Linked DNA regions of Coturnix japonica. The main gene of each other region encodes a partner of the protein of the gene in region 2 in a complex. Links are inferred from orthologs where the notes say so. Each region holds a gene or a part of one and is shown on either strand. Other genes may lie near its edges. The genes, in order: C17H9orf78, AKAP17A and PPP1R8.

Region 1 (10,923 bases), on a different chromosome or scaffold from region 2:
GGTGTGGTAACTGGTTAAGGAGGACCCAAGATAATTATGCACCTGCAAAGCCTGAACTTAATTTATACATCACCGAGCTGATAGAGAAACCAAGAGAGAGAAAACTTCTCACAGTCATTTCACTCTCTCCTTCCAGAGAGAACCTTCCCTAGAGCATGCTTTAACTTGAAGCTCTGTCCACACCTGGAACTGTCTCAAGTGATTCTCCCCAGAGCAGGGTTTGGCAGTGGGTTACGTGGTTTGATTTTGCAGCAGCATGTTTGACAGGTGGGCTGGTGAGGGACCAACCAGTACTGAAGCAAGTCAAAACCAATATGAAATTGATGTAATAGTGCTTCAGCCTGCTGCATAAACACACAGAGCTGCTCTGCATCTTGCTTATCCCTTATTAGTGACTAACACAAAGCAAACACACGTTGCCACTCAGATTCCTGGCTTGATTTTTTCCCCAATTTATCTGTTCTCTGCAACTAATATCTTTAAATTTCAATAGAGCTGAGCTATTTTACATTGTGTTACACCAGTCTATAGTTTGAACCAATAGAAAACATTTCTCAACAAGTCACTTGTGTTTTTCATCTTCTGGTATAAGCTCAGTGTCAGATCTCTATCACAGATAAGGGAATGCATCTATCCCTGAAGGCACCATTTCTTTTTGCTGATAACATATTTCAGAACTAATGTAAATACAAAATCTATACACGTGAGAATAGTGTGACAACTCACCGTTTCTTATGCCAAACCTCAGACACCAACTTCTGGTAACTTTTGCATAGTGCTGGTTTTTTATCCGTACGGACCAGGCCACCACATTCCAGGAAAAACTGTGTGAGAGGTGGGCTGCAAGACAACAACAAGGATTCAGAGCACAGAAATTGCTCCTCTGCCTCTATTGAAAGACTGATCAAAGCTTAAATGCATCCCTTTTTGAAAGCATGCTTGTTTTTAAGTCAAGGGGAGAAGCGATTCTAGATGCAGACTTGATTTCTGCCTAGAAATGAACAAAGAAGGCTGATCTGAATCAATTCCCAGCACAGAGATCCTGAAACCAGCTGTCAGCAGAATGGCTAATGAAGATCTTACAGTGTGAGTTGTTAGAACGATACCACTGTGGAAAACAGAAAGATTGCATGTTTTCTCACATGGCAAACATGCTTCTGTCATGGTGGAGTTTTACTTCCAGCATTCATCTAGAGACAAGTCTCACACACAGCCACAGAGTTGGCTATTCACCCATTTTCCTACTGCAGAACTTCTGTTTTCCTAAATACTACATTGTTCATATTCCTTTTTCTGCAGCTAGCCTGGCTGGTTTATCCTTGCACGACTAAGGAAGGTGTCAGATCAGAGGTGCTACTGCTGATACGTAGTAAAAGACTCTACTAAAGGCCCTAATGCCTACCAGTTAGAGAGAGCCTGAAGTGCTGCATTCATGTAGCAGGAGTTCCCAAGATTTTTCATTCCAGTAAGGCCTAAAGCACAAACAAGAGAAGCATGAAACACTTTCCAGAAGTGCTGCTTTCTACATTCGTTCCCAATGGGAAGATAATGTGACCCTTTCTGGGCTCTGCACTCTGCTGCTAGGACCCTCTCAGTGCAGGTCCTACAGATTGCAGAGTCACCCTCACAGCTCTTCCATCAACTACATGCAGTTACCTCTTGGTTTCAAGTCATCGTCCTCTGATTCGGATTCACCTTCATCAGCCACTGCAATTGGAACAGCTTTCAGAGGGTGAGCAGGCAATGGAGAATCCTAGATTAAAGACAGAAAATAACCATCAGCAAGAGTCCTCCTTCAAAAGACGAGCTGCGAGAAGTATCTTAGGTGTAAACTCAGCCAGCCTTTAAAATGGCACACTCAGAAGAACCAGTTGTACTGCCTACCCTTCTCAGTAATGCATATAGAGAATGGAAATGGCACCACTACTGCTTCCAGTGTTAATAATGGAAGAGGCACTGGGAACATGCAGTGTCACAAGTAGACACGTTTGAAGTCTGACAGCTGATTTTTTATTTGAAATGAAGATATCACAGCTGTTGTGGCTCCTACCAGAACCAGATGGCCCATATAAGAAGCCAGGAGAGGTTAAAGAAAAACATCAAAATGGATATTCGAGTCGTTGGAAGCCTTCCTGCATGGAGAGTCTATAAAGCAAAGCTATTGGTCCTCTGACCACAGGCAGCCACCTTCAGTTGGAAGAGTTCCTACCACAATAGCAGCCTGAGCAACTTCTTAGCTAATTTTGCAACAAGGAAATAAAAAGCCTGCCAAGCATTGAGCCCTGCCAGGCTGACACACACCCACTGCTTCACTCAACTTTACCGAGGGTGACTGCGTGTGCGCCGCCAGCCGCTGGTCCAGGAACACCTCCTTCTCACAGGCATAACACCAGACCCGAAACGTGGTCAGATTCACTGTCAGGTTGTGCTTTTTGGCCTAGAAATAAAAAGGTGAAGTAATGATTTGAATGGTGGGACAACTTGAAGTGCAGAACGACTAAATTCAGGCATAAGAGGATTAGGTAACAGGAATAACTCAGCTCTCTCTGTCTTTAGATGGACCATAATGAAAAGCTTACCTGTGCATGAAGGGTGCTATGGTCAGAAAAGGACTCCCCGCAGCCAACATAAGGACACCCGATCTAGTGAGAGAAAGCAAAACTACAATGGCACACCAAATGAAACCCTTCACAAAACAGTCTGCAGCCCCAACCCCACCTACAGCTGCAGCTTCAGAACTGATCTTGCCACTCAACTGTTTTTCTTTGCAGGGCTTAGAATAAGGCAGATGACTGGAATTGGTTAATTTAACAGAGAAAACCTGAAATCAGTTTGCACCCACGTAAGTCCTCATTCCAAGACAACTGCTCCAACAGGTTCATCTGACCAGACTAAATGTCCAGGCACTCCAATGTCAAATCAAACTGCCCCTGCCCACCCACACACCCTCTGTCACTCCATTCTGCCCCAAACACCATCTTCAGAGCTCTCACTCTTGCAGCTTCCCCTTGCAGCGGATATTTCTATTGTGTTCACCCATATTTGCATCCATCCCTTCTTGTTTGGTCCAATACAGTTCTTTGTATACACTGAACAGAAATCCCACCGTGTCATGCACACGAACATCAAGCTGTTCTTACCTGAAGACAAGCCCAGAGGTTTGGTCCCACAGCTCCACATGACTGGCAAGTTCCCTGTGTATTCACAATGATAAAAAAATAAGCTTTGTTTGCATGTCTGTCTTTTAAGTAACCCCATCCTTCAGCAGTGAGAAACTTCTCAATGCGACAGGCCTCCCCCGCCTGCAGCTCAATGCACTGCTTAAATCCATGCTTCCAATGCCACGCTTTGCAGTGTGTGTTAGATAAGTGGCGTGTTTGAGCAGGATAAAACGTCAGTGCGAAATGCACCAGATGGGACTGACAAAGGCTTATTGATGGGCCACGTGCAAGGTACAACAAGGGTGGAAAAAAGAGTTTCTGCCTCTTCTGTACAGCAAATAGAGAAGGGGTTGGTAACCAGAACACCCCGTACCTTGGATTTGAGCAGCAGATCATCTCTGGTCACCTCTCCTATGGAATCCAGGTGAGGGCAGATGTCTCTCGTATCCCCCATTGTCACTGCAGGAAGGTGATTTCCTAGGACAAGAAAAGGCAGTTCTGTTTGGTTACAGTCAGCAGCCCACCATACTGGTGTCTATGGGCATTAAAACCATGACTGCTGTTTAAATGAAGCTCCACAAGAGGGAACTGGGCTTAGAAGACCTTTAACTGATAACCCACCTTCAGTGTTTCAGGAACTGCTCATTCAATAGGTGGATTTTGAACAACTCTCAATGAATGCATGGAGCTGTTCTGCGCCGCTCACACAGCCCAGCACTGAAAGCACAGAGGATTTCACAGCTGTGTGCTTACAAACCCCACAGATAGTCTTATAACAGGGTCTGTGCAGCCATCCTGGACTGAAGGAACAAAGCAGACCTGGAAGAAGGGATCACATCCCTGCACTGCAAACACAGCAGTGACTGCAGGCAGCACCTGGGATGAGCTGCTTAACAGCACTGAGAAAGCTCAGGAGCTGCACAGAGAAGGGAAAGGCTGCCACGTAACAGGGATTTAGAAGACAAGCAATAAGAGCACAGTGACTGACGCATAAAAGTGGGACACTTTCAGGCTCTGTGAGTGCATCAGAATAGAGTCTTTTTCTCCAAACACATCAGCACAACCAGCTCTAAATCCCACCTATCAGTGCCACGTCTGCTCTTCCATCTCTCTCCATTTCCTCACCCAGAAAAATCAAATAAACCCTTGTTTTTAAACGAAATCGGGGACCTCTTCAGCTCCCCCCACCTGAGCCTGTATTAGATCCCACGGCATTAGATCACACAGCCCCGTTCCCAGCCCAACACCGCGATGCTGCCGGTCCCTCCCGGCCTTTTCCTTTGCGAAATAAACCGAAAAACGTCACTTTCAGCTCCCAGCAACAACGGGGCTCATTCAAGAATCGTTCAGCTCATTCCTCACCGCCTGCAGCCCGCGGGGCTCCCAAGCATCGCTCATCAAACCCGGCGTTACACAACGAATCCCCCGTTACTCGGTGGGGCCTACGGGCAGCACGGAGCCGGACAAGCCGTGACCAGCGTTTTTACCGGGGATAACCCACCCCAGGCTGAACGTTCCCCCCCGTCCCATTCTCACCTGCTGGGCCCGACCCTGCGGTGTGTAGGGCTGGATGGGAGGCGGTGCTGGGGCCCAACGGAGCCGCAGGCACCGGGTAGAACCGGGGCGGGGCGGGGCGGCCCACAGCGCCCGGTGCGGCCTGCCAGGCTGCGGTACGGCGTCGGAACGGAGAATAGACGTCATCATATGGCGTCGTAAGAAGAGAGAGAGGAGGGAGGGGGGTGAAAAATGGCTGCCAGGGCGTTCAGACGGCGGAGGGAGGAGAGCGAGGAGGATGAGGAGGATGAGCAGCTGGCTGAGGAGGTCAGGTGAGCGCAGGGGATGGGGGCTGTGTGCCTCCCTCAGCTGAGGGAAACGCAGGAGCCATGTGGTTCAGGTATTGATGTGCAAAACCAGCGTAGATTTGGTGTTTAACTGCAGGAATTAAAGTGAATTAAAGCAAATAGAGGCACTGAGTACTGAGGGCAGCGGTTTGGGTTTCTTTCTGCAGGTTAAAGCTCGAGGAAGCCAAAGAAGTGCAGAGCCTGAGGAAGAGACCCAATGGGGTGAGGTAAGGGCTGTGAAGGTTCTATCTGGTATTGTCATGTAATAGCACCCATCTGCTTTATGGAGAAGTAGCTCCATGTTCTCCCTGTGCCAAAGGGAGTAGAGGAGTTTGTGTCTAAGCCTGAAGATGGTGTGAATGGTGAGTTTGTCCAGGTGTGGAGCCCTCAGTACAAGAAAGACATGGAGATTTTGGAAAGGGTCCAGAGGAGGGACAGGAAGATGATCAGGGGGCTGGAGCACCTCCCCTATGAGGACAGGCTGAGGGAGTTGGGTTTGTTCAGCCTGGAGAAGAGAAGGTTGCGGGGTGACCTCATTGCAGCCTTTCAGTACCTGAAGGGAACTTACTCCCAGGAGGGGAGTAAACTCTTGGAAAGGGCTGACAATAGCAGGACAAGGGGAAATGGTTTTAAGTTAAAAGAGGGAAGATTTAGGTTGGATGTTAGGGGGAAGTTCTTTACTAGGAGAGTGGTTCGGCCCTGGAACAGGCTGCCCAGGGAGGTTGTGGATGCCCCGTCCTTGGAGGTGTTCAAGACCAGGTTGGACGGGGCCCTGGGCAACCTGATCTAGTAAAGGTGTATGTTTGGTGGCCCTGCCAGGCAGGGGGGTTGGAACTACATGATCCTTGAGGTCCCTTCCAACCCGGGTCATTCTGTGATTCTGTGAGTGCAGGAAAACATTGGTGTGAATGGTGAGTCAGGTGCAGGAAAGCACTGCCAGCCTGCAGAGTCTGTGCTGTATCCTAACTATGGAAAAATAGACTAAGATTGGAATTGGTCATGGGATGTATTTAGTTAGATTGCTTCTGTTCGGTTCACGTAGCAGAGCAGTAGGTTTATCGGGGGCCCTTTTATATCTTCTCTCTGATTTCCTTCTCTTTCATATAGCATCACTGATCAGCTGATGCAGTAGTTGAAATGGGCGCCAACAACCAGCTTTGTTCCTTTGCTGATTCACTGTAAAGCACTAAAATCTCTCTGCCTGAACTTCTCATCTTCCCAAGACGTTGATAGTTCGTCTACCCATAGGGAAGGACAAGGAAAAATGGCAGCTTAGTATTAATACAAGTGTTTGAGACCTGCTGCTTGATCTAGGGAAGGATAAAGAAAGACAGCATTGTTGGTAACACGTTTCCTTCTATTTCCTTCCTTTTGTCTCTTTCTTTATGGCTAACCAGTGCTGTAGCTCTGCTTGTGGGAGAGAAGTTGCAAGAAGAAGCGACACTTGTGGTAAGTGCTTGATACTTTTGTCACTTTATTGCTAAGATGTAATGATGTGTAAACGTTGGTGTGATCCAATTGATGGCTGTAGGATTCTGCTTCTCGCAGCCTAATGCTTTTTGTCCGTTTTTATCCAGATTTGGAAGACTAGCCTTAAACTAAAGGGAAGCTTCAGGGTTTTGTATTTTATCTTGCATTACAGGATGACCCATTTAAGATAAAATCTGGGGGGATGGTGGACATGAAGAAACTGAAAGAACGAGGCAAGGACAGGTGGGTGCTTATGAGCTCTGAAGGTCTTTCCCTGGACTAGAAGTCCCAGCTAGCAATAAATTAACCAAAAATTGTACTGCTTTGAAGAATGTAATATATTGCACTTCCACTGGCTGCTGCTACCTTAGCTTGTCAAATTAGTTCAACAAAAAACAACTGCAACGGTGTGGTTTTCATTTAGGATTAATGAAGAGGAAGATCTGAACTTGGGAACTTCCTTCTCAGCTGAAACCAACAGACGGGATGAGGATGCTGACATGTGAGTTGAGCTGCGTGTTGTCTGTGATGCTGAACTCTGGGCTGGGTGTCCTCTCAGTTTATCTGTATTATTTTGGATACTGAATGTCTCAGAACAACTTCTTGATTCTCACCTGCTTTTTCACCTTCTGGCTGCTAGACTTGAGAAGGCATTTTCATGCACAGAGTTGGGAGATGCCAGTCAACCAGCCAGTACAATGGTATTAAATTCCAGCAGCAGCCTTCCTTGATGGGTTATGGAAGAGCTTGGGAGACCTTGATCAGAGCTGCAGATATCTTGTTTTATGTTCTTGATGTTAGCTGACTGCTTTTGGATTCATTTCTCTCTCTCAGCCTTTGGGAGAGCAGTGCAGCTGTGTTCAGCAATTAGGTACAGAAAACAGAACTAAATACCACATCTCCCTCGTGGATCGTTCTTTAGGATGAAATACATTGAGACAGAGCTGAAGAAGAGAAAAGGAATTGTGGAGAATGAAGAACAGAAGGTGAAGCTGAAGAACGCTGAGGACTCTCTGTATGAGCTGCCGGAGAACATCCGTGTCTCCTCTGCCAAGAAGACTGAGGAGATGCTGTCCAACCAGATGCTGAGTGGCATCCCTGAAGTGGACCTGGGAATTGAGTACGTTGTTCACAGATCTGTTAGTTAAGGCCTGAATTACAGGGATGAGCATCGTGATTGGAAGCTGCTGATCAGCAGAGCACTGGTGTGGCTGCATTCTACAACCCCCCTTCTGGCTCTGTGATGGGATTAAGTCTTCGTCTGGATTAGTGGGGTGTTTAGCACTGCATGTTAAATTAAACACAGCAGTAGGTTTCCAGCGCAGTATGATAACGTGACCTCTGGGAAGAGGCACTTCCATTTTTGTTACTGCAGTCAGCAGCTCTCTGGAGTTTATCAGTGTATGTTGTGCACTGAAATAGGATGTGTGCTTCACTTTTACCTTGTAAACAAACCATCTAAGCATCGGATTTCTATAGCACTGCAGCCTCTTAACCAAAATTAGACCAAATACAATACGAGCACTGTTAATGCATGCAAATCCATTTGTTTTGAACGACTTGTTACTTACCTGCTACTGTTCTTTGTTTTTCTTCCAGTGCAAAAATAAAGAACATAATCTCAACTGAAGAGGCCAAGGCCAAACTGCTGGCAGAGCAACAGAACAAGAAGAAAGACAGCGAAACTTCCTTTGTTCCCACAAACATGGCTGTTAACTATGTCCAGCACAACAGATGTAAGTCTCATGTGGTTGTCCTGACCCCAGTATGACCCACCCCTCTGCTAGAGAAAAGCAGTCAGTTGAGATGGAGTTTGTGCAGGAGAAATTAGTCCATGTATCAACACAAGCAGCTGTCTGGTTTCTTTCTCTGGGATGTGCATTTAGGCCCCATCTGGTTTGCCTGTTCTTTTGGTTTTTTTCCCCCAATCCATCAGCATAGAAAAGGACTTATTACTTTTGACCCAACTTTCTGCTCTTGAACTCCCAGTTGACAGTTCCTCATAAATTTCAAGCTTTCTTTTTCTTTAAGTTATGCCTTGAACGTGTGTTGGAAGTATCTGCCTCGTCTGTGGTTATAAATGATGGGTTATAATTGAGAGAATCCATTTTGCAGGCTGCCAAAGCAGACAGGTGGTCAAGCAAACATAGATCTTAGTAGACAGGAGATAGGAATTAATTTCCGGGAGAGCCTCCCATACCACAACCATCTGGAGGAAAGGCAGCCTGTTACCATGTCTGACCGCACCTACAGGGGTGATCTGGTGTCAGGTTTGTGTGTTCTGAAGGAAATTAAGCATTTTTGGGTGACTTCTGATGAAATAGTGCCTCTGAAACATGGTGTATCCTATCCATAGAAAGCAATTACTGGAACACTTGTCGTGAGGTTCTGTGGTTTCTCCTGAAGATCAGTCATAGTAAGTGCCATAGAAGAACATCTGTGTGAAGAATGCAACTCTGAAATACTCTACCTGATGTTTTCCTTCCTTCAGTTTATCACGAGGAGCTCAACGCGCCGGTGAGAAGGAATAAAGAAGAGCCAAAGCCCCGTCCACTGAGAGTGGGGGATACAGAAAGGCCAGAACCTGAGCGTAAGTTCCTGATCTGAAGTGTCTTAAGGGAAGGTACTGGAATGTGTTGGGGTCTCATACAGAGATGTAGCTCTTTTGTTGTGCAAGGTCCCATAGGAAACCAGCTGGATGCAGGATTGTTTAGTGATACCTCTAGATGGAGCAGCAAAGGTCACCACCAGAATGCATTAACCAAGCTGATTGATAGGGGTGTGCTGAAAGCTGGGATGGCAAGGGAAGCGAGGTTAGGGAGCACTGAAGGACAGCCTTTCATAGAGCAAGGGACGGCAGTTGTGTGGCTTTACAGGAGTTCATAAGGTTCAAGTTTAGGTAATGTCATCAGGGAAAGGACTGGAAATGTGCTGATCCTCTGTTCCTTCTCAAGGTTCTCCTCCAAATCGCAAACGTCCACCCAATGAAAAAGCAACTGATGATTATCACTATGAGAAGTTCAAGAAGATGAACCGGCGCTACTGATAAACGTGGGCTGAGGGCTCTGCAGAGCTGCTTGTTCTCCCCATCTCTCATGGTGGATCTTGTGTCAGTGCCCAGGAATGGAGGAGCTTTCCTTGTGCTCTTGTCGATCTGTTTGTGAACTCTGGCTGGTAAAATCTTGTATATAACTTTTATTTTCCATCATAAAGCTTATTTTATCATAACGTCAGCTTTCACGGCGAGACTTTTTGTAGTGGGAAGATGAAATTGACTTTACAGATCCTCTGTATGGAGGAAAAACAAGTCAAATCTCCTTTAAAAGCAGGAGGAGCCCTTCAGGAGTGGGAAGGGGCAGAGATCAGTGTTAGCAGGGAGGAGGTTGGAGGGGGGTGATGTGAAGGAGCCTGAAAGCAAGAGATGGGGCTTAATAAAAGTCTTTTAAGGCACTGTAATGGATGTGTTCTTAATGGAGTTGTGGACAGCCCACATCACTCGTTTGATCCCTTTTTCGACTGGATGTCTATCACCCTATGGCTCCGCCCAACATGGCCGCGCCCAGCCCCGCCTCTGCCCAGCTTCAAGATGGCGGCGGCGGAAGTTATACATCAGGCCGGAAGCGGCGGACCGGAAGCGGCCGTGCCGGCCATGAAGGTGCAGCAGGGATGGCGGCGGGCTGTGCCGGGGCTTGTGCTGCTGCTGCTCCTCGCGCCGCCATCACGGGCCGTGGAGCCCATCAGCCTGGGGCTGGCCATCGCCGGGGCCGCCGCATCGGCCCTTACCGGCATCATCTCCTACCCCAGGCTCTACTGCTACTTCAGGGAGTGCTGCCTCCAGCGCCATGAGCTGCGCGTCGCCAACGGTGCGGGCTGGGATGGGATGGGGGCTGGGATGGGGCTGAGATGGGGCTGGGATGGGGGCTGAGATGGGGGTTGAGATGGGGGATGAGATGGAGCTGAGATGGGGGCTGGGATGGGGGATGAGATGGGGTTGAGATGGCGCTGATGTTCTGCTCGCTGTTAACGGTCCCATGTGCTCTACAGCCCTACAGGAGAGCCTGGACAGAAGGCTGTTCGGGCAGCACCTGGTCAGCAAGGTGGTGGTCAGGGCCGTGCGGGGCTTCCTCAGCAACAGCCAGGCCAAGAAGCCGCTGGCTCTGTCCCTGCACGGCTGGACGGGCACAGGGAAGAACTTTGTCAGCAAGATCATCGCTGAGAGCATCTATAAGAGGGGGCTGAAGAGTAACTATGTGCATCAGTTTGTGGCTACGCTGCATTTCCCTCACGCTCACAGCATCAACCTCTACAAGGTAAAGGTGGCAGGAGGGCAGCGGTGCTGCTGGGTGGGCTGCAAAGGGGCAGAGATGACCTCAAAGATCTTAAGTGAGAGGATCTCATGATACAGCACAGCATTGCTTTGCGTGCCTTGTTTTAAGCGTTGTCTTCATATA
Region 2 (9,161 bases):
GCTGATAAGGAGATCTATCTGTCAAGTGTCGGAACTGTGAGGCAATGCTATGTGGCCTGGATGGCCTGTGGAATAGAGAGTTAATAGTGATTAGTGTACTTTGTGAACAGAAAGGCCATTCAAACATTGAAACAATACTTAGCTTATTCCATACGTTTTCTGTGAATCCAGTGTGTTGTATTCATAATATTTACATACCGACTTCTCCAAATTGCTTTCTCTGTTACTTCATTGTCGTAGGAAGTAAAGTTATTGATGGGAGATGATGTGGAACAAGTCGGTCTCTCCAGATGTTATATCTGTGCAAGTATGGCTTAAGGAAAGCTTGTTGTGATATATTTGGGGACTTGTCTGTGTATTTACATAATGGTTGAATTGCTTATTTATTTCAGCACGCTTAATTTTCATTCATCAAGTCAGCAAGTAGATTTCGGGAAAAAGCTGAAGTATTTATGTAATTTGGGAGCATTCAAATATTAATTGATTAAGTTGTAAGTTAGACACTTATTATCTTGTTATTAAAGTTGGTCAGCTGAAGCACAGACATTGCTGTTCGTATGCCCTCCTATTCTCAAGGGGATGTGAAATTCAAACTGTCACTTGCATGCAGTGGATTGAGGTTCCCAAATTTAGTTTCTCTGTGCAAGAGAACGCATGCCTTCCTAGCAGCTGCCCTGGGATTGATAGCAAGAGAGAAGGCTGTGTCTGTGCTGTCAAGACAGATCGCTTTCATGCAAGGTCACCAGACTGCCCAACTCTGTTTCTACAGGGCTTTTATTGAAGCATTACTTTTATGTTGTCTGAACAAATTAAACTGCACAGTATGTATGCCTTGTTCTGTGCTCCATGGTTCGTGTCTTCCAAAGTACAGTGGCTTGTGTTACAGATCCCTGCCTGCACGTGGGTTGTATTACAGAGTTATAAAATCACACAGTGGTTTGAGTTGGAAGCATCCTTGAGGATCATGTTTCCAAATGCTCTGCTGTGGGAAGAGGTGCTGCCCAGTAGACAAGGTTGTGGTATTTCACACGGTACTAGAGGGCACCTGGAATGTGATGTGTGCTCTTGGGTGCAGCTGGACATGGCCAACTGTGTCCATGCATCCTGGAAGATTTGTGTTTCCCCAGGTCACTCCATTCAGATGTATGCAGCATCATTCTGTTGTGTTTCCAGTGTTAAATCTGTAGCTTTAAGCAACAGCCTAGTATATCTCGATTTGGGAATCTTTGGGCTAGGATAGATGAGCAGGCACTTGCTTAAACCAGATACTAAATGTTTTAGGACTGTTTATTTTCTCCTGAAGAATTTAAGGATTGCAGTGTTGCTCAGAAAGAGAAGCCTTTATTAAGGCCTATTTCTACCCAGAGCTGTGGCACACGAGTTGAAATTTGAATTTCCTATTCTGGAAAGCATTGGACAGCCAGGGCCTAAACCAGTTTACAGCTGGCTGTCAAAACCCAGTTGTTCTGACACCTAGGAAGTGATGTTAAGAAACATTTCCCTGCCATCTTCTTATGGTTCTCATTAGTTTTGAAAAACACTTTGTTTCTGGCTGTACTTACAGTGTCTTTTACATACATTTGTTCTGAGTCAGAAGTTGGCTGTTGGTGGTTTCTTTTGGGTGTTTTTTCCTCACTGTTTACTTACATCTGTTTCATCTGTTTTAAATTGTATTCTGTAAAGGTTTCTTTTGACTCAACAAAACACCTCAGTGATGCATCAATTAAGAAGCGTCAGCTTGAAAGGCAGAAGCTTCAAGAGCTTGAAAAGCAGAGAGAAGAACAAAAACGCCGGGAGAAGGAAGCTGAGGAAAAGCAAAGAGAGGAAGAAAGGTTAGTTATTGCTTATGGCTCTTAGTTATATTCTTAATAGTAAAATATGGCTAAACTGCAATTACTCATTCCTGTTTGCATCAATAGAAGACAGCTACATACTTAGGAGTTTACTTACTCCTGCAGCTGAGGCAAAGCTCTTAAAACTGAATGAGAATATTGCAGTCCTTTCTAGGTAGTAAGGTTCAGGGATCATGGGACCTGGAGATGAAGAAGCATAGTTTGAACTGCTGTTTTTCTGCATGTATGTAATTCTAAGGTCATGAAACTTACATGTTTCTTTTACTGGTAAGTAACAGATATTGCAAAGTTTGTTTACTCTTAGCATTGGTATTTTTCTAGGAAAGAATGAGATAAAAGCATATTTTAAGAAAATGGATGTAAATCCAGATGTCATGCGGCAGCTATTCAGAATATAAATGTTAATGCAGCATTTTTTCCCCCAGATTTCATGATGTCCATTTGTTTTGATAGGTATCATTTCTCACTGCTTAACTTTTAGATAGTTAACAGTTTCTACAAGTGTGATGTAAACCATCTTATTAAAGCAGAGCTGTTAATTTACTCAGTAAGGGTATTTAGATTGTCACATAGACTTATGTTTGGTTCAACATACTAAAACTGCATAATAGTTTCTTGTAACCATATTTTATGATTGAATACCAGCATATTTTTAAATACTGAAGGGCTGAAAAATGCACTGTTCTTTATTTCAGTTTTTCAGTAATCAACAAATGTGTACAAAGTACAAAATATATATATATATAATTTATTTATTATATTTTATATACAGCCAGAGTCTAAAATTGCACCTGCCCTAGACAAAATAAAAATCTAATCTCGTTTTAGGAAGCAGAGAGAACTTGAAGAATATGAGAGAGAGAGAAAGAGAGAAGAAAAATTACGCAAGAGAGAACAGAAGCAGAAAGATCGTGAATTTCGACGAAACAAAAAGCAGCTTGAGAAACTTCAAGCTGAAGAACAGAAGAAACTTCAAGAGAAGATAAAGTTAGAAGAAAGGAAGCTCCTGTTGGCTCAGAGAAATCTTCAGTCCATCAGGCTAATTGCAGAACTGCTAAGCAGGGCAAAGGTAGCTATCATTTATTACAGAAGCTGATGAGAAACCCAGCAGAACAACTGACATAGGTGGGGGTGGGGACTGCTGCTCCTTATGGAGTGGTACCAAACCTGTTGTTTAGTTCAAAAATGCAATAAGTGCAGTGAACCTTGTTTCTCCTTTGGTAAAACATGTACGTATAATAAATGAAAAAGCTAACTTGAATCTGTAGTCCTTCCAAGACTAATTGGCAGTCCTGCTCTCAAGGCCAATAAAAGAATGTAAGCATGATAAAGTTAATTAAATAGAGGCAAAGATACAAGACTCCTTATTTCTCATTTGAGTTGTGGTACTCTTTCCATTCTTTCCTTCTGCAGTTCTGCTATTTCCAGTTTCAGAGAAAGGGGTTTCATTATTTGATGTTTAAAAGGCATGTTGAATGATTTATCTTTAGAAAAAGTACTGTAGATTAAAGTTTTGAATGTTAGATTCTGTCTGTAAGGGTGAAGGTTTTATTTTTTCACTAGCATTTGATTAAGATTTGGATAAAGTTTTGTTTAGGTTTTATGTAATACACTTGAATGCACTTTATTTTGCAGCAGTGAAAAGCGGTGTGTCAAAGCACACTTCTGTTCTTTGGTGCTGGTCTATCTCAGTAGTGTTTTTGAATTAGAGCTCATACAGGGCTAAATGGTCAATTGTATGCTAGGAGAAAAGAGGAATATTTCTTGCAGGCTTTGTGGCGGTGAAGCAGAATGATAAAATAGGAGTTTTATTTTCTGTTTAAAATGTCAAGGAAGCACGAACAGATCTATAAATATTTTCTTTACTCTTCCTTTACCTTTGATTGTCTTTCAGACAGTGAAGCTTTTGGAACAAGAACAAAATGAAGAAAAAATCCGTCTTCAGGAACTTGAGGAGAAGCGAAAGCTTCAGGAGGCTGAGCTCAGACGTGTGGAAGAAGAAAAAGAAAGAGCACTGGGGTTGCAAAGAAAAGAAAAAGAACTGAGGGAGAAACTACTGAATAATCTTCTTAGCAAGAAAATGGATGCAGTTCATCAAAGCAAAGAAGAAACGGAAGCATCTCAGTCTGGCACTGTGAAAACTGCTAGTGATGTTCCACACACTGTGTCATCCAGCTGCATCACTTCTACCTCAGGACAGGCTGTTACAGGCAAACTGGCGTCAGACTCTCAAAGAGAACTACCATCCCCTGAGAATGTAAATGCTCAATGCAAATATTTGAATGGCAATATTCATGACAGAGTTGATGTCAAAGAAGGTCAGAAATTTCCTACCACAGACTCAGAGAGGTGTTCAGAGAAAAGAAGTTCAGGTGTACTGTCATGTGTTCCTACCAATAACCAGCAGCAGAATACCTGCAGGAAGGACTCGCGCTGTGAGCAAGGCAAACATAGCACAGAGCCAAGGAGAAGAAAGAGCCGTTCATGTAGCAGCATAAACACTGATGAGAGTAAGGGTAAACGAGACAGAAGCAGGCACAGAAGAGATGTGAGTTACCAGGATGAAAGAAGGAGGAGGGAAAGGAGGTATTATAGACACTCTAGCAGAAGTTACAGTCCTCGACGAAGTCATAGTCCTCGTCGAAGAAGTGTAAGCCCCAGACGTTCACATTATAGAAGAACTCGCAGTAGTGAACGTAAACGAGACAGAAGAGAAAAGAGTCATAGTCGCAGAAGCTCAAGCAGAAAACAAAGGTATCGGAGGAGATCACTGAGTAAGCAAAGGAGTACTTGGAGTGGGTAGTGAAGGCCCTGACTGTTTGAAAATGCTGTGGTTGGACACAAGGGCCAGAAAGTTGTAAATGAGACCTCACTCGAGTGACTGCTTTAAGAAAACACTTTTGATTCAACCAATGCATCCAGTCCTTAAAGTAGATGCCTGAATTTTATTATTTTTTTGAAGTTCTGTTGTGCTTTGTTGTCTGTTTCTAGCATTCTACCACAGTGTAGGTGTACTGCTTGTATTTGAAATCCTACTGTGCTAAAAGCCAACCTGCTTCCTCAGTTTTTGGTTTTCTAAATTGTAATTTCAGCTGATTTACTTTTTCTTGGTTTGAGAAGTACATATGTGCCAGTTACAGGACATCCAGTCGTGACATGCTTTGCCACACAGATTAATCTAAAATGCTTTGTGTACTTAATGAAATCATGTTTAACAAAGTAGAAATTTTGCTGATTGAGACTGGTAACAATTTGATTCTTAAAACTCACTATAAAGATATGCAGGCAATCTTTTAAACTGCTGTGATTCCTTCATACATCTGTATCGTGCCAGGCTTTGTTGACCAAATTATTCTGGTATGTAATGCCCTTTGTGTAGTAATACTTTCCACGTAAGCAAGGCACACTGGTGTAGGAAGTAAGAATCAGTGGTAAAAAGGTTGAAAAGTTGTTCTGTTGCCTTGTTGACATACTTGGCTTCTAATTACTTTGGGTGGTTTAGAGCCACTTGAAGTATATTTTCAGGTACGTACAGAGCTAGCCATTGTCTTTTGAAAAAGGGGCCTTCTTGCTAAATTATTTTTACTTGTGGTGTTGGAAAGTAAGGCTGCAGCATCTCTTGTTAAATGCATTTAAGAATACATTTGCTTCTAAAATGGAGCTCAGGAATATTAAAAGCTATAACATTACAGTGAAAGAGTTTATTTTGCCTTTTTATGGTAAAATTAAAGAGAAAACTGTTTCCAGTGAACTGAAGTTGCTGTTTTCATGTGTCAGTATGTTAATATCTGCAGAATTGTTGTATGAAAATCATTTTGTTCCAAAAAAAAATGAATAATGAGGCTTAGCTGCTTGACTTGCAAGTCCTGTGATGTACAGCTGCATCCACTGTTAACTCAGCAGGATGTTTGCTCTTCGGGTGCAGTTTTCCCCACACTGATGTGGGGAGTGCCTCTTTGTTTCTCTCCTTGAATCCACAGATTGATTTATCTAAGTCATCTCAATGCCACCAGTCTCCTGAATTCAGAGCGGCTGCTTTTGTTGATGAGTTAATTTTCTACAGTCTTTGCTGAAGTGTTAGAAGTCTACCTGAAGATAAACTTACGATTTGTAATAGTTTGGCTGAAACCCAGTATAATGTTCATTGCAAGTTTTAATGGAACGCCTGTTTGTAGATTTCTGTGATTCTCTTTAGCCTGCTATCAAATAACTGACATGCTATCCATGATAACATATTTGAGGTAAGGAGAAAAAAACAACTGTGGTTCCATCTGTAGTCCTGTAAGAAGCTGACCTAAGGCTGTCAGTACCAATGTCTCTGAGCTCAGGGTTTAGGGTTCTTACTAGCTTAGTATTTCCACAATATATCCTGTGGATTTCCACTGGGATTTATGTCAGGGTCTTGACAATTAATATATGTAATTGGGGAAATGCTAGTTGTAGTGCTACCTTCAGGAGGTCTTCAGACTGTTAATGCACTGTTATTGCCAAATATGAAAGCAATTGAGGCAGTGGCAGTCATCAAGAAGTGCTCGTATTAGGAAAATCCAAGAAATACTTTTTATTGATAGAAAAGAAGGCCGTGCTGGATAGGTGGTTTGGCATTTTTCACTCTAAAGAAGGCACCAAGAACAGGCTTGATATCCCATCCTGAAGTGATTAAATTATGTAAGTTCCCCTGACATCCCGTGCAGTGTCTGAGGTCAGAGAACATAAGCAGGGGCTGAGGGAGGGAAGAGGAAGGATAGTTCATGTGTTAGGCCATTGTTTAGCCTGACACACCATAGTGAGCACAGTCTTCATACAACATTCAAAAAGTACAGTAACATAAGGTACTCAGTTTATTGAAAGCCTAAAAGTACTTTGTAGCTACTTGTAAATCCTTACCTTCTGAAATGTCACGCAGGAATATGAAGGTAGCCTTCTTTCAGCCAGCCAGCTTGGCCCAATCTCAGCCTCTTTAAACTGGTGCTTAAAGTTGCCCAATAAATGCTCAGTGAGGATTTCATCTAGTTCTAACACTTTGTGATATTGTTTCAGTTGCATGTTTTGCTTCAAAGCTCTCCAAAGTCTTTTCGGTGCAGAATCCACTGAAATGAATATTGCATCCTATTTCATTGTAATGTGGGTCTGGCTGGGGTGGCGTTAGCATCATTCATAGCCATGAGCAGTTCAGTGGTGCTTGGTTGTTGTTACTCAGTTACGTATTGAGATGCACAGTGACATGAACTCCAGGACAAAAACAAAAATAATGCCATCCTATAGTACCTGGGACTGCAAGAAAATTTTTTGTCAGCTGAATGAGTGACATGGTACAGTGGTACTTCTTTATAGACCAACTTCTATGTCTACTCAATCTGTTCTTTCTGTTGGTAACCCAGGACTCGGCATGTTCTAGTCTGTTTCACTGTATGTGGGCTTGATAGTGATGCCTATAGCTAAATGCTTTCATACTGCTAGTAACCAACAGCACCCACAAGCTGGTCAGTTTAAAACCTGCTTGGATATTTTTCTACAGCTCAAGGCAATGTGATAAGTGTGGATGTACTGTGGAACTGTAGTGGGTGCCACCATGTTTTTGTTGTTGGTTCCCAAATTCAGCATTGATGATGTCTTTGAACTGCAAAGAAACTTGTCGAGACTGTAATCTTTTGATACGATCACAGCTATAAATTATGCTCTACTCTGCCCAACACCATTCATTAAAATCTTTTTCTTATGGCTGGGGTATGTGCTTGTAATACTTCAAAAACCTCGGTGATGCGATAACACGAAGAACATTATTTTTGATAGTAATCGCTTGTTCTCTATTGATTGTATGTCATTATTATCTCTACCAAGTGTATTCTAGACATCTTTATGTTTCAAACAAAAGAATCTGGAATACTGGCAGGCTTTATAATGGCTTCTAGAAGCTTAAATATTACAATCACTGATATTTTATCCTCTTCTGGAAGAATATTGTGATGCTGGTTTCTTAAAGCTCATCTGACTGCACATGTTTGCAAGACTGACTTTGAGGAGCTGATAAAATTAGTTTGTCTTTGCCTTCCTTAACATTTACTAAGAGTTAGCAACTAATGATTATCAAAGACACTCAAAGTACTTCTGAAGTACTGAAGTTGATATAGTTGAATATTGGACAGATACTGACTAATGCTTAAGGCTACTCTGCTAACTTTACTCTCAGGCATTTAGCTGCTAGAAATCCAACTGTGAGAATTTCTGCAAAGAATTATGTACTAGTGGTTATCTGACTCGTACTCTTTGCGTTGACTTGCCATGAGATATGCGTTACATTTGTTGCATTGCATCAAAGTTATTTATGTATTATTCCATTTGTTAGTGCCCTTATTGGTTAATTTATTTCCCTTGTGAAGTGACCAGGAATAGAGATTTATATCAGCATTTTTATCAGAAACGTGACTGGAAGAGCAGCTTATTCAACAGGAATTATTTCCTACACACAGGAACCGTCTAAGCCCTTCAGTCTCTTGTTACATCTCTATTCAGTGACATAAAATAAAGGGATATGAGTGATTAGGTTGTACTAATAAAAAACTTCATATGCCATGTAAAAATAACATCTTGAAAACTGTTAAGAGTAAATGTTAATTTTAACAGTGGCTTCTAAGATAGCGAACAGGATTGTGAAGTTGATGACTGATCAGTGCAGTCTGGACATCACAGCAGATGTCAGCTCTAGGGCAGTTTTGAACGCATTCAGGATCACGTAAGAGACTTGAAGGTGCTCATGTTTAATAACAGGGGTACAGGTATTAGGTACGGCAGCAATTAAATTACCTAGTTTGGTCTGTGCCTTAATTTATAAATGGGTAAGGAAAATCAACAGCTGTTATCTTGTATTGTTATGCAGGTTAAATCTTTTTTTAATTACCATTAAAATATATGTATTGCCTGTGTCTGGTATGCTGCCTTTGAGGTTTGGTTATAAGCTGGATGCAACAGCCATTTCATTAAGCTTATGTTGTATTATATTGATGTGGTCCTTCTCCAGCCTAATGAACATGTTACTTGCAGAATCTCTCTCGCAGCATCACAATAAATTTACTGAGCTAGAGTTTGTATAAAGCTGCAAACCAGTTGCAGTTCTTCCTTCAGTATGGCGTATGCTGAAGCTATCCCATTGCTATCTCATGTTCCCATGTGTATTATTTTACTGGTATCAAAAGGAACTGTACCAGTATTTTTCTGTTGTACATAATCTGTTGCCAGCTAAAGAAAAAAGTGTGATGCTGTCCTGGCTTGTTAGCCAAGACAAAAAAGCACCAGCTATTATCTTAATGA
Region 3 (10,765 bases), on a different chromosome or scaffold from region 2:
TCCGTACCCATGAAATCTGTGGTTTCAGTTTGTGAGACAGGTGAGCCTTAAATTCTATTTATGCATATTCAAACAAGTTACCTAAAGAAAACTGGCATACAAATAAATGGATCTTTAAAAGCTTGTTTCTTACTCCATATTTCAGCATTTAGCTGTTTTATGACTTCAAGGACCACAAAAATCGATCTCATTCTTGTCCAAAATCTACTCCAAAACAAAGGTCCAATAGGTTTTCATTCACACTCATTAAATGGCGTTTCAAGAGGTTTTGTGAAGATTGTGAAGATTGAAAGTCTTGCCTTTACTTCACTGTAATGTCTCTAAGATTTTCTGTGCCTCTGAGCTATAACCCAGTGTCATCCTTTACACACTGAGCTTAAACACTGCAGGGCTTGTTTTCATGTTGCACTTTTCAGACCCAGCAATCACAAAGTATTCCTCAGACCTCTGGAAGAGACCTGGGATACAGATGGCTCGGTTAGTATCAAGTGCTCAAGGAGCCACTGCAGCAAGCAGGACCTCCAGGCTACACATCCTTACCATCCATCCTTGGAATCTGACAGGACCAGGATGATATTTCTACATGACAGTTTAACAATACTGATTTTGTTTGTGTATTGTCTAAAGCCATGGTGCATTCTCAGCTTCTGCAGTGCACTCTCCTGCCTGCAGTCTGGATCAGATCTCCCTTGATAGCCACTGTGGATTAATTTAGCAGCGAGCTCCATATAGGCTCTTCCATTCTCAAAAATCCAAAAGAAATATGACAAGAAAAACCTTGTCTTGTAGAATAAGTAGAATAATTCTCCCAGGTGGGAGGGCTGCAGTGAGGCCACCTGCCAGAGACCCAGAAAAACGACAAAGGCACTGCCAGCTGGCTTTGCTCACCATCTCTTTACATGGCCTGAAAGAAATACTGGAAAGCCTGATGCCACGTACAGTCCTTACCACAGATGCTATTGATAGGATGGCAGTGGGATGGCTGAGCTGGCAAGCAGTCCTAATTCAGCTCTGACCTCTGAAACTTCTAAAGCAGTTCCTAACATGCAACAATACTGAAAAAAAGACACGGATCATGGTTTGAAGACAAAAAAAATGCAATGGGATTGAAAGCTATTGTGGGCTAGGGAGAGCCAGTGAAGGATAGATGCACTGAAGGATAGTCCAAGTAGCTGGTAGAGCCAACTCACCTACACATTACATGATGCAATGAAGTACAGTGAAGATGTGATTACACATGTTGGTACCTAGTTCCTTTCAAATTAAGGCTGAGCAAAGATCTCACACAGGTCAATGCTGGCACTGCCAGCTACCTGTGCTTTCAAATGTGGACTAACTAAGAGCAATCTCTTAGAACAATCTATAAAATCAACAAGTTATGGACTGTCCCCATAAAGCCTCATTTTACTGGCTTCTGGCCTGGGAAAATATAAGCTTATTAGTAAATTCTCTGTTTATTTTTCCTTTGCAAAGCATATTCTGGTATCTTAATCAATTTATAAAATACTTCTGAGTAGGTGTGGAAAGTGCCATGTGATTTTCTACCACCGGTGTCTTTATCTGTGATACACTCAGCACACACACAATCTGCTCTCATACCTCAATGAGTTTGTCTCCTTTGACTACATCCAAATGTAAGCCAGGTGGAGGTTTTCCTGCCCTGGAAAACAAAGAAAATTAAGTCTAGTATGAAAGTATTTAGTGAGAAGTTCATTAATAGCAGAGCTAATACTCTATTAGATCTACAGATCGATGCAACACAAATGTAAGTAAATTTATTTGGGGAAAACAAAGATTAAACAGCCAAAAATTGTCCTTTTGCTCCACGCAGGTTCCTTCTGCCTACACATAAACCACAGATGTTTACAATGAGTTGAGCTAACAGAACGCAGGGCATTTCAAGCTTCATTGCTCCAACCATAAGACAGCGACTTCACAAACCAAATAGAGCAGCTCCCAACAGGAAGCCCACAAGGAGAGAAGGGGACAGACTGGACCTGTCAGTGTAAGGGCCTCCCCAGGGCTCTGTTGTCACATTACCTTAAGAACAGCCAGTCTCTGAGCTGTTGAGAGGAACAGGATCTTCTACCATCCTCCCCCCCCTCCCCTAGAACTGATGATGGTCAAAAACATCTGAAGGGTTCCAAGCTGAGTAATACAAAAACACTGGCTACCAACACAGATAGCATGGAAGAAATGACAGCATTCAATGGGAAGGGGACCTTATCCTATGAAGCAGCTTCATTCCTTTGGGAAAACCCTTCAAATCAGCACGTTCTTAATTGCCCTCCACAGCAGGTCCCCACGAGCTCTATTTTCTGGATGACTTCTGAGAACCGTGGCTGCTTTAACTGAACAAAGCATTCCATTTGGATTAAAGCAATTGTAGAACTTCACCTTAATACTGTTTGTTGCCTTGTTACAATGCACAGTTCCACACAGACTGCACTGCTTCACTCAGGTTCCCTTGGTTACCTGCTTAGGAATAAGGTCTCCATACTGCGTACAGAACTGCATATAGAGCCTCTGAAAGAAGGGCCATAAATACCCCATTAGAGAGAACTAAAGGTCCTATGGCATCTGCTCCTCAATTCAATTCATTCCCTCAAAATACAGCCCAGCAGTTGGACATGGAGAAATCCAGGCCTTCCCATAGCAATTCCAATTGAAAACTGCTTAGTAATGATTAGCAATGATGTATTTCAGAGGGACATCATCAAACTAAAGCAACATCCGAACTGGGTTTTGATAGAACAGCAGGGTTATGGATGCAGAAACCATCTGAAATGGAAAGCCTCACTGAAGCAAACCCTATCCAGCCCATAGAGAAATCCGGAGCTTTAGCTGCTCAGGACACAGACAGGCCAAATCCAGTCCCACTGTGTTCGTTTAAAATCAGGTCAATTATTTAGGTTTTTAATTGTGGGCTCAGAAGACTAATTAAGCCACTTCCTAACATCTCAGTGTAGGTGACTGCTATGCACATCCTCATGCTGAACTTCAAGGACAAGGCACAATTTCCAGAGCTCTAGAGCTCACCAGAGACCTGTGTAAAATCACTGTCAGGATATGTAACCCATACCAGCATGAGAACTAAACCAAAGCCCGGACTTTAAGCCATTGAAACCCTTGAACTTCTTTTCTACTACAATATTATCCATGTTAAGGAAGAACAGATACAGCAACAGAGCTCAAAAGCATGAGCAACAGTTTAAAGACAAGAAAAAAACCTACAATACTGGGCAGTTATGGTTAAGATATATTTCTTATATAGGTGTTTGTAGCCCTTACAGCAGCTCCATGTGGAGACAGAAATGAAACCAACAGGTAAGTAAAGACTGTGGCTTTGGTTCCAATACAAGTTAATGAGATTGGAAGGCACTCCCTGCAGAAGAAGCTGCTACTCACCATGAAGACTCCCCAAAACATGATGGATTCTGAACACCCACAGCTTTCCCTGCTAAGATCCTCCCGGCTGTCCAAACCAAAGTTTGGGTTATAAACACACTGAGATTCTCTGGAATTCAGAGCCTCAGACTGGTCCAGCTCTGTCACTGTGAGCCAGTTCCACTCTACAGAACCACTCTACAGAACTCATCACTTAGTGAATATCCGGACTATATTTTACACTAGTAAACTCTGGTTTACTTGTGAAGTACTTCAGGAAGTTATAGTAAAAGATCATTCAGATAAAAGGGGAAAGAAAGCAAAAAAGATTGGAATTGTTAGGCAGAAACAGGGCCCCACTCTCCCGAGGTGACCTCTTACTGCTGGGTGTGAAAACCCCGGCTTGGAGCGGATCCCAATGCAATGGATTGTGCTTCAAACCTGGGTCAGGTCAGCAGCAGCACGGTGCAGAAAGCTGCCTGGCTGTGAGCCCCTGCCCTGCCTGCAGCAGAGCCAGAAAGCAAGAGAGATGAAAAGGCCATTCACAGGCACAGCCCTCCTCTCCATACGCTATTTCTTTAGGAACTGTTCTGCAACAGCATTCAAGCAACTGAAACTGAGCACTGAGTAAGCCATACATCTCCCAGCTGTTCCATCTACAGCTTTCAGTGGCAGAAGTCATTCACATTTATCACCAAATGTAAGTCAAGTTGTTCCACGCTGCAGGTGCCCCATCCCTGGAGGTTCTTGGGGCCATAGATGGACATGGGGCAGCCCTGCCATGGCAGAGGGCTCGGAACTGGATGATCTGGGTAGTCCCTTCCAACCCAACCATGCTGTGGTTCTGTTTGCTGCTTTGATCTAAATCATATTGCTGTTCTGCACGTCACCATCTTGTCTCACAGAAATGCTTGATACTGCCTATACCCAGCTCAGACACTACTTGGATTTAAGGTTTAGATGGGTTTACAAACGAAAACTGAAAAGCACGTTGGCCATGCACATTGAGTACTCATTGAGTCCTGCCACCCAGCACTAACAGCCCGGACCTGCAGCCGGATGACTGTGCAATTAGAGCGGAGTGCTCTCACCATCCATCGCCTTTCAGCTCGGCTGTGCCATGATCCGCTGCTCCCATCCATCCCGAGCAGGGCCCGGCGGGGCAGCGGGGGAGGCCGCACTCCAGCCCAGCTGCGGACACGGCGCTGTGCAGAACACCGGCTGAGCCAACCCCAAGTCCCATCCCCTCCATCACATCACATCATCCCATCACATCCCATCACACCATATCGCTCCGGCTCCCCGCTCTACCTCCATCCCCACACAGCCGCGCCCGCCGCCCCAGCGCTACTCGGTCGAGGCGCAGCACCGCCACATCTCGGCCTCACACAGCACCACTCCGGCCCGAGCCGCCCCCATTGGGCCCCGCAGCGCCGAGCCGGGCTCCCTCCGGCCCACACCCCCGACCCAACGCTGCCCCGCTCCCCTCGGCCCGCTCAGGCTCGGCCAGGCTCCATCCCCCCGGCCGTGAGGCGCCGCAGCCCCGCGCTTCGTCCCGCCCCAGCGCCACTCCCCCGGCTCGGCCCGACCCGGCCGGGCAGCCGCTCTCGTCCCTCTGCGAGCCCCGCAGCAGCGCAGAGCCGTGCGGCCGCGGCCCGCTCACCAGCTGGGACACTCGAAGAGCGAGAGGCCGCCTCCTCCTCCGGCCGAGTTCGCGTTGGCCGCCATCTTGCATCTGCCCCATTCAGGCGGGGGGCGGTCCCGGCGTGCTCCGCGCCGAGAGGGGCGGGAACGAGCTTCTCCACAGAGCGGGGCTTAGAGGAACCTGATTCTATCGCTGTTTAATCTTGCAAAATAAAGAAGCTCCGACAAAGGCCTTTAAAAGTGTTTATTGATAGTTATTAGATGGAATGATGGCGTAAGTAGTGCAAACCAATGTGCAATTTATTGGGAGAACACCCCTCCCCCTTCCCAGCTTTCACATGTATTTTATTACGCAGGAGACGTGGAATAAAGGGTTAGATACAAAATGGGTCAGTATGATGCATTTACCACACGATACCGGACAGACTGCTGATCCCTCAGTGCGTGTCAGTTCAGGGCTACAAAGTGGGGAGCTCAGCTTTGTGTTTTAGTGCTTTGAGAACCAAAAATGGAAGAGATTTATTCATCCAATGATAAACCATCAGCTCATTTCTTCAATGACATTGCACTGCTAGATTGGGTGTCCTTAGACTTACAGGACTTACAGTACTCAACCGGTGCATTAAAATAAACCAAAACAACCCCAACCATGCACAAAAATTAATAAAAGCAATGAGTCTCAAGGCTAAAGTGACCGGTTCCTGAGCACACTTGTTCCATCTATCACCCATGCATACTTCTTGCTTTTCAGATCTGCAGTGGCATCTTTTCAATCAAATTTAGAACCACAGCCACCCAGAGACTAATAAAACCATGGGGCAGATACCAGAGACTTGAGAAACTGCTGGATTAAGGTAATGAAAGTTAGTGTTGTGCCCTCTTTGAATGTCGTTCTTATTCCAGTCCAACAAAGTTATCTGTACATATAAAAAGTTCAATGTCTGCCACTTGTCAAGTGAAACAAGACATCTCCAATTATCGATCACACTTCAGCATACAGTCGGGACAGGGAATAATACATTACAGAAAGCAAAACCACGAGATGTTAGTTACATAAAACAATATAATTTGTATATAAACTGATAAATACTGTCTCCATGGTTCACTAATTCCAAATACTAGTTGTCTGCACATTAGTTGCTAATAACTATTACTAGAAGTAGTTCCAGCTTGTGCTCTCTCAGGGTGGTTTCATTTCCAAAACTAGTCTGCCTTTTCGTGCTGGGGGAAAATATTCTCAGCAATGAGACAAGAATCCATGTGAAGATTTCACCCTCTTGCCCACCAGATAATTAATCCTACGAGTATAGAAGCCACAGCAAGACCAAGAATCAGGATGCAGATCTTCTTACGGGATTTCTTCTAAAGAAAGAAGAAGAAAAAGCCACTGATACCATGAGCAGATGAGGAAGAAAAAGCAAGTTTGGCAGCTTGTGTTGCTAAGTATGGTGAACCAGAGCACTCAATACCTGTCATTATTCAAGGGAAGTACCAAGTACGCAATTTCACAAGGTCTTTAAACAGCATATGCCACAACTGAAGGTTTAGTTTTAGGTCTAAGAAATCCAATTAAGTCAAAGCTAGCAGAATTTGTTACATTTTAAGGCAAATTCAAGGCTTTACTTCAAGATAACTACAAATAGGGAAGCCGACACCACCTAATATACATTTCATGCAAAGGTCTGCCACCAAGGCTGCAAAGGAAAGCTAAACCTCTCCAACTATCTGGATTTTCCAGGTAAAACAAATGAAAACAATCCCTCCTGTAGTTTGATGCAGAGATAGTACTGCATTTCTACAGCTTAAATGATGTAGCATACAGTTACTGTACTTGATTGTACATTTACAATAATACAAGCATACATAATTTACCTGATAATAGGCAGCTCTCTGTAACTGCTCACTGGCTCTTTCCACATGAACTTCTGCACTTTCCACATTTGCCTCTATGCTATCTGTGGAAAAAAACAGAGAACTTGTAAAACAATTCAGACTTCTGGTGCTTAAAATAAAATAAATACAACATTTTTTGTACAAAATATCAGAAAAATTGAACTACACAGAAAGAAAGTGCAGCTGAACTAGAAAAGAAGCTCCTTATCCAAACACACTTACCAATCATATCTCCTTGGTCATGAATCATCATGGCTAAATCCTTAAATATCTGATTGACATCCAAAATGTCGGCCTGAAGACAAGTTTGACAAGTTATACAAAACACTGGTTACAGTTCTTTTGCAGCCTAATTCTTAGTGCCTCTTCAGAACACACCACTAGAAATAACTGAATAGATGCCATCACTCACTGACTCAGGTGACTTGATGTTGCTATTGATGGAACTTGGGATTAACATAAGAGCTTGCAATATTCCCACTGCTCATTATTTTTTCCATGCCACTAGCAACTAACAGAGCAGGGAATTGAGATGAACACTGTCACGAGTTACTCCTACCATCTCTGAAGGACCACCAGTGAACACTGAAGGAAAATATACCTAGTCTCCTTAAACTGGAGCAGGGAGATTTATCTTGGAATCAATCCTCTCTACAAGGAACTGTTCCTTCACCTTCAGGTCTCCTCAGCCCATCCCATTAGATAGCACTGCATGAATTCTTTGGTTTCTACCCTAATATTGTTAACTATATGTTAACATAAGCGCAGGATCTACTCTTCACCTCTAATTGCCTGATTGCCGTTTCTCTTTCTTTAATAAGTTCAAGATCCTGTTCAGTTATCGCCACATCTTCTTCTTGAGACTGCATTTGGTTCCAGTCTTCACCACTGTGAAGGGAAGGAAGGATAGTAAAACACTGTTTCTTTCAGCACAGGCATATTTTCTCACTATAATTACACTGAATCACCAGCATGTTAAAGCTGAAAAGATTCCTACAGAACACCAGTCTTGCAACTACAGGCTTATGGCAACAATTACAAATGAGAACAATAATGGGGACAGACCAAGAGAAGTGAGGAAACTGAAAAGCAGTACATGCATAGGATAGTTTGTGCTAGGATGTGACCATTACCTATAGCATTATAGAACAGACCTCATTTCAGGTTGGTTTTTTTTTTTTTTAAGTTTGTTTTTTAAGAATATCTGTACCTTCCTTTCCTCTCACCATCCCCCACAAAAAGGGGGGAATCAACCAGGGTGAAAGTCTTGATGGAGAGCAGCCTGCAAGCACAACATTATCAGATCAAAAGAACACCTGACAAGCATCCTGGCTCTAAGATTCTCACTTGCTATCTGCCATTTGGGGATACGAAGAAAGGGTTTAGTATGTTAATTCATTAATTTAGCAAGAACTACAAATTAAAGTCACACATCAAGAGAGATGTTTAGAAAAATCTCTGCACACCTACCCTGATGACAGTACTTCATAACTGCCACGTAAGTTACACACACTGATTACAGTGAAGGCAGTACCAATAGTACAAAGTCATCTATGTGTCCAGCACAAAAGAGTTCTTCTAGGGTAATATCTCCCTCTTCTTCTCGGAGGCAAACGTATCTGAAAGCACTGTAATATACCCAACAGGCACGTTGTGACATAACTCTACGTAGTAAGTTCCAAAGGCTCCAAGTGCAAAAAGAAATGACAATAAACTACTTGACTAGATGGGATACAGCAGAGACATTCAGGAATTCAGCTGAGTTGACAGGAGAATCTTCAGGTGTTTAGGGCACAAGTTTCTGATGTGCAGCACATAAGAACAATTTTAAATGCAAAGTAGTTGCTGCACGATACTGCATCTCACTGAGATGAGGGCCTCTGCATGAACAGGTATTTATGTGGCACCCCATGCAATAGTGAGCAAGACTTCAAACTCATCACAGCATCTTTATGACTGAACAAAATAGGGCTTTCACTTCTGACTCAGCACGTGGAACCTCAGGACTAACAAAGGGGGACACACACCAAACAACTGATCAGGAGAGGATGGATGAGACATTTCAGATAGGTGCCTCGAGTTAGAACATTGCAAGGTTTATACAGATAAGGCCTACATACTTCATCCTCTATTTCTCAGGCATGCATAGTGGAAACTGACACAGTAATCACAAATGCTTCTGCAGTGTCTTGAGTTCACTTGACTCACACTGTAGAGCTGATGCAACATTCTGCAAACTCATCTGCTATGCAGGCACAAAGTTACCGCAGAATCTATATATATGTCTGATATTTTATATCGATGTAGACTACGCATGTTCTGGTATCAATTTGTTATTTCTTCCAAGTTTAGAGCAGCCTCATCCACTGCTTTACAATGGCTCCATCTGGGCTCATAGATAACACCCAAACTCATAAAAGAAGTAAAGAGTTTTTCTTGTGGAAAGAGTTATGTGACAGAAAATACGTCTGGTAATCTTGTGCTCACAGTCCAGAACACCAGGAGGGCCAATTATCATATAACAGAGACTGAACTATTCCCAGTGGGACAGCCTACATTTCAACAGGGTCAAATACTGTCATGCATTTCTTTTCCTAAATGCTGTGTATTAGCACTGTAATAGCTGCATAGCATCCTTCTGTTTTTCATTCAGCTATAAAAGAGTTGTCCAAGATACAATATATCTATAACAATTTTAATTACACATAGGTTAAGAGTGTGCCCCGAGAATGCAAGAATGCAATTCTTTACCTATCAAATGAAACAAGCTGTTCTTCTCTGAACCGCTCATCAGCCTGGAATAGATAAATGAGGTGTTAATATTTCAGATCAGCAGAACTACCAACAAGCAAAATCAACAGGAATATACTGAAGAAAAAGGCATTTGCTGTCCAGAGACAGCATTGTCTCTTCAACTTTCAGATTTAACCTAAGGGAATTTAGACCAGATTTAGATTCATCTTCAGACTTAAATTCAGACTGTCTCAGCAAATCAGAGGCAGCTGAAAGGCAAAGACAAGAGTCTATTTACTCAGATCACTGATGTATCATCAGCATATCAAGATGTGTGCCTACTAATTACAACATCTGGAACAGCAAAACAACCTACTGAGGCCTCATTTGTGATCAGTAATGCATCAGTAGACAACCATGAAGCCAGTGGGCAAAGACAAGATCTCCAAAATGATTTGTAGTCCACCATATCACAACAGAATGCCTACAAATACTTACAGAGATACGGGAGCCAGCTCTTGCCCTTGCTACAGTCTCTTTTTCCTTCTCTGACACTTGCCTCTGTACTGCCTGGAAATTATTTAAGGCTGCAGAGAAATCATTCATTAAACGTTCTTTCTGAAGCCTCTGTTGACGCTAAAGAAACAAAAACAAACGTTCAGATATTACCATTCGTGTTACTGTAACCATCAGACTCTCCAAAACATAAAATGAAAAGTAAATGCTAACATGTAAGTGATCTTCCCAGCATTCTGGGGTAGAAACAGGAGAAAAAAAAGCCCATCACACTTTCATGTTATACCAAATGCTCTATGCTCTACCTACTGTGGAACTGCCCTGTGCATGTTTCCCTGGCATGTCCCCTTTGAAGGTTGTGACATCCAGTACATGGGAAACAAGTAGCTGAGAAAAAGACTTGACCCAAGGACAGTCAGTACTACAGCTGATTCTTACAGTTGATTTTCCACTACAGAAATTCTTCAGCTTCACTCACTTACAGAAGTCACTGCCACATTCAGCAACATGGACTTTGCTTACCAGAGTGAGATTAACTGAAAAACACTTTCTGAACAAATACACGAAACACTGCCGTATTTACAACTGGTAT

The links.
Region 1: AKAP17A (region 2) and C17H9orf78 share a complex: the UniProt entries of both Homo sapiens proteins name them as parts of the spliceosome. The link is inferred for Coturnix japonica from reciprocal best matches to the Homo sapiens genes AKAP17A and C9orf78.
Region 3: AKAP17A (region 2) and PPP1R8 share a complex: the UniProt entries of both Homo sapiens proteins name them as parts of the spliceosome. The link is inferred for Coturnix japonica from reciprocal best matches to the Homo sapiens genes AKAP17A and PPP1R8.

Annotation. Positions count from the first base shown.
Region 1 is NC_029532.1:4,314,147-4,325,069, reverse strand, and holds C17H9orf78 (telomere length and silencing protein 1 homolog), read left to right. Parts: upstream 1-4,850; 5' UTR 4,851-4,907; coding exon 4,908-4,987; intron 4,988-5,169; coding exon 5,170-5,229; intron 5,230-6,399; coding exon 6,400-6,451; intron 6,452-6,644; coding exon 6,645-6,715; intron 6,716-6,896; coding exon 6,897-6,974; intron 6,975-7,394; coding exon 7,395-7,592; intron 7,593-8,071; coding exon 8,072-8,208; intron 8,209-8,963; coding exon 8,964-9,062; intron 9,063-9,426; coding exon 9,427-9,518; 3' UTR 9,519-9,928; downstream 9,929-10,923. Other genes in the region: USP20 (ubiquitin carboxyl-terminal hydrolase 20), read right to left, coding at 727-840, 1,403-1,472, 1,657-1,753, 2,324-2,437, 2,580-2,642, 3,141-3,194, 3,535-3,615; torsin-1A-like, read left to right, coding at 10,059-10,335, 10,517-10,782. UniProt on the Homo sapiens protein: Plays a role in pre-mRNA splicing by promoting usage of the upstream 3'-splice site at alternative NAGNAG splice sites; these are sites featuring alternative acceptor motifs separated by only a few nucleotides. May also modulate exon inclusion events.
Region 2 is NC_029516.1:116,234,234-116,243,394, reverse strand, and holds the end of AKAP17A (A-kinase anchor protein 17A), read left to right. Parts: intron 1-1,683; coding exon 1,684-1,832; intron 1,833-2,681; coding exon 2,682-2,922; intron 2,923-3,747; coding exon 3,748-4,656; 3' UTR 4,657-5,609; downstream 5,610-9,161. UniProt on the Homo sapiens protein: Splice factor regulating alternative splice site selection for certain mRNA precursors. Mediates regulation of pre-mRNA splicing in a PKA-dependent manner.
Region 3 is NC_029538.1:1,334,789-1,345,553, reverse strand, and holds the start of PPP1R8 (nuclear inhibitor of protein phosphatase 1), read right to left. Parts: upstream 5,178-10,765; 5' UTR 5,116-5,177; coding exon 5,051-5,115; intron 1,661-5,050; coding exon 1,600-1,660; intron 495-1,599; exon of another isoform or gene 329-494; intron 1-328. Other genes in the region: STX12 (syntaxin-12), read right to left, coding at 6,301-6,393, 6,904-6,986, 7,147-7,219, 7,707-7,812, 8,135-8,206, 9,676-9,719, 10,156-10,293. UniProt on the Homo sapiens protein: Inhibitor subunit of the major nuclear protein phosphatase-1 (PP-1). It has RNA-binding activity but does not cleave RNA and may target PP-1 to RNA-associated substrates. May also be involved in pre-mRNA splicing.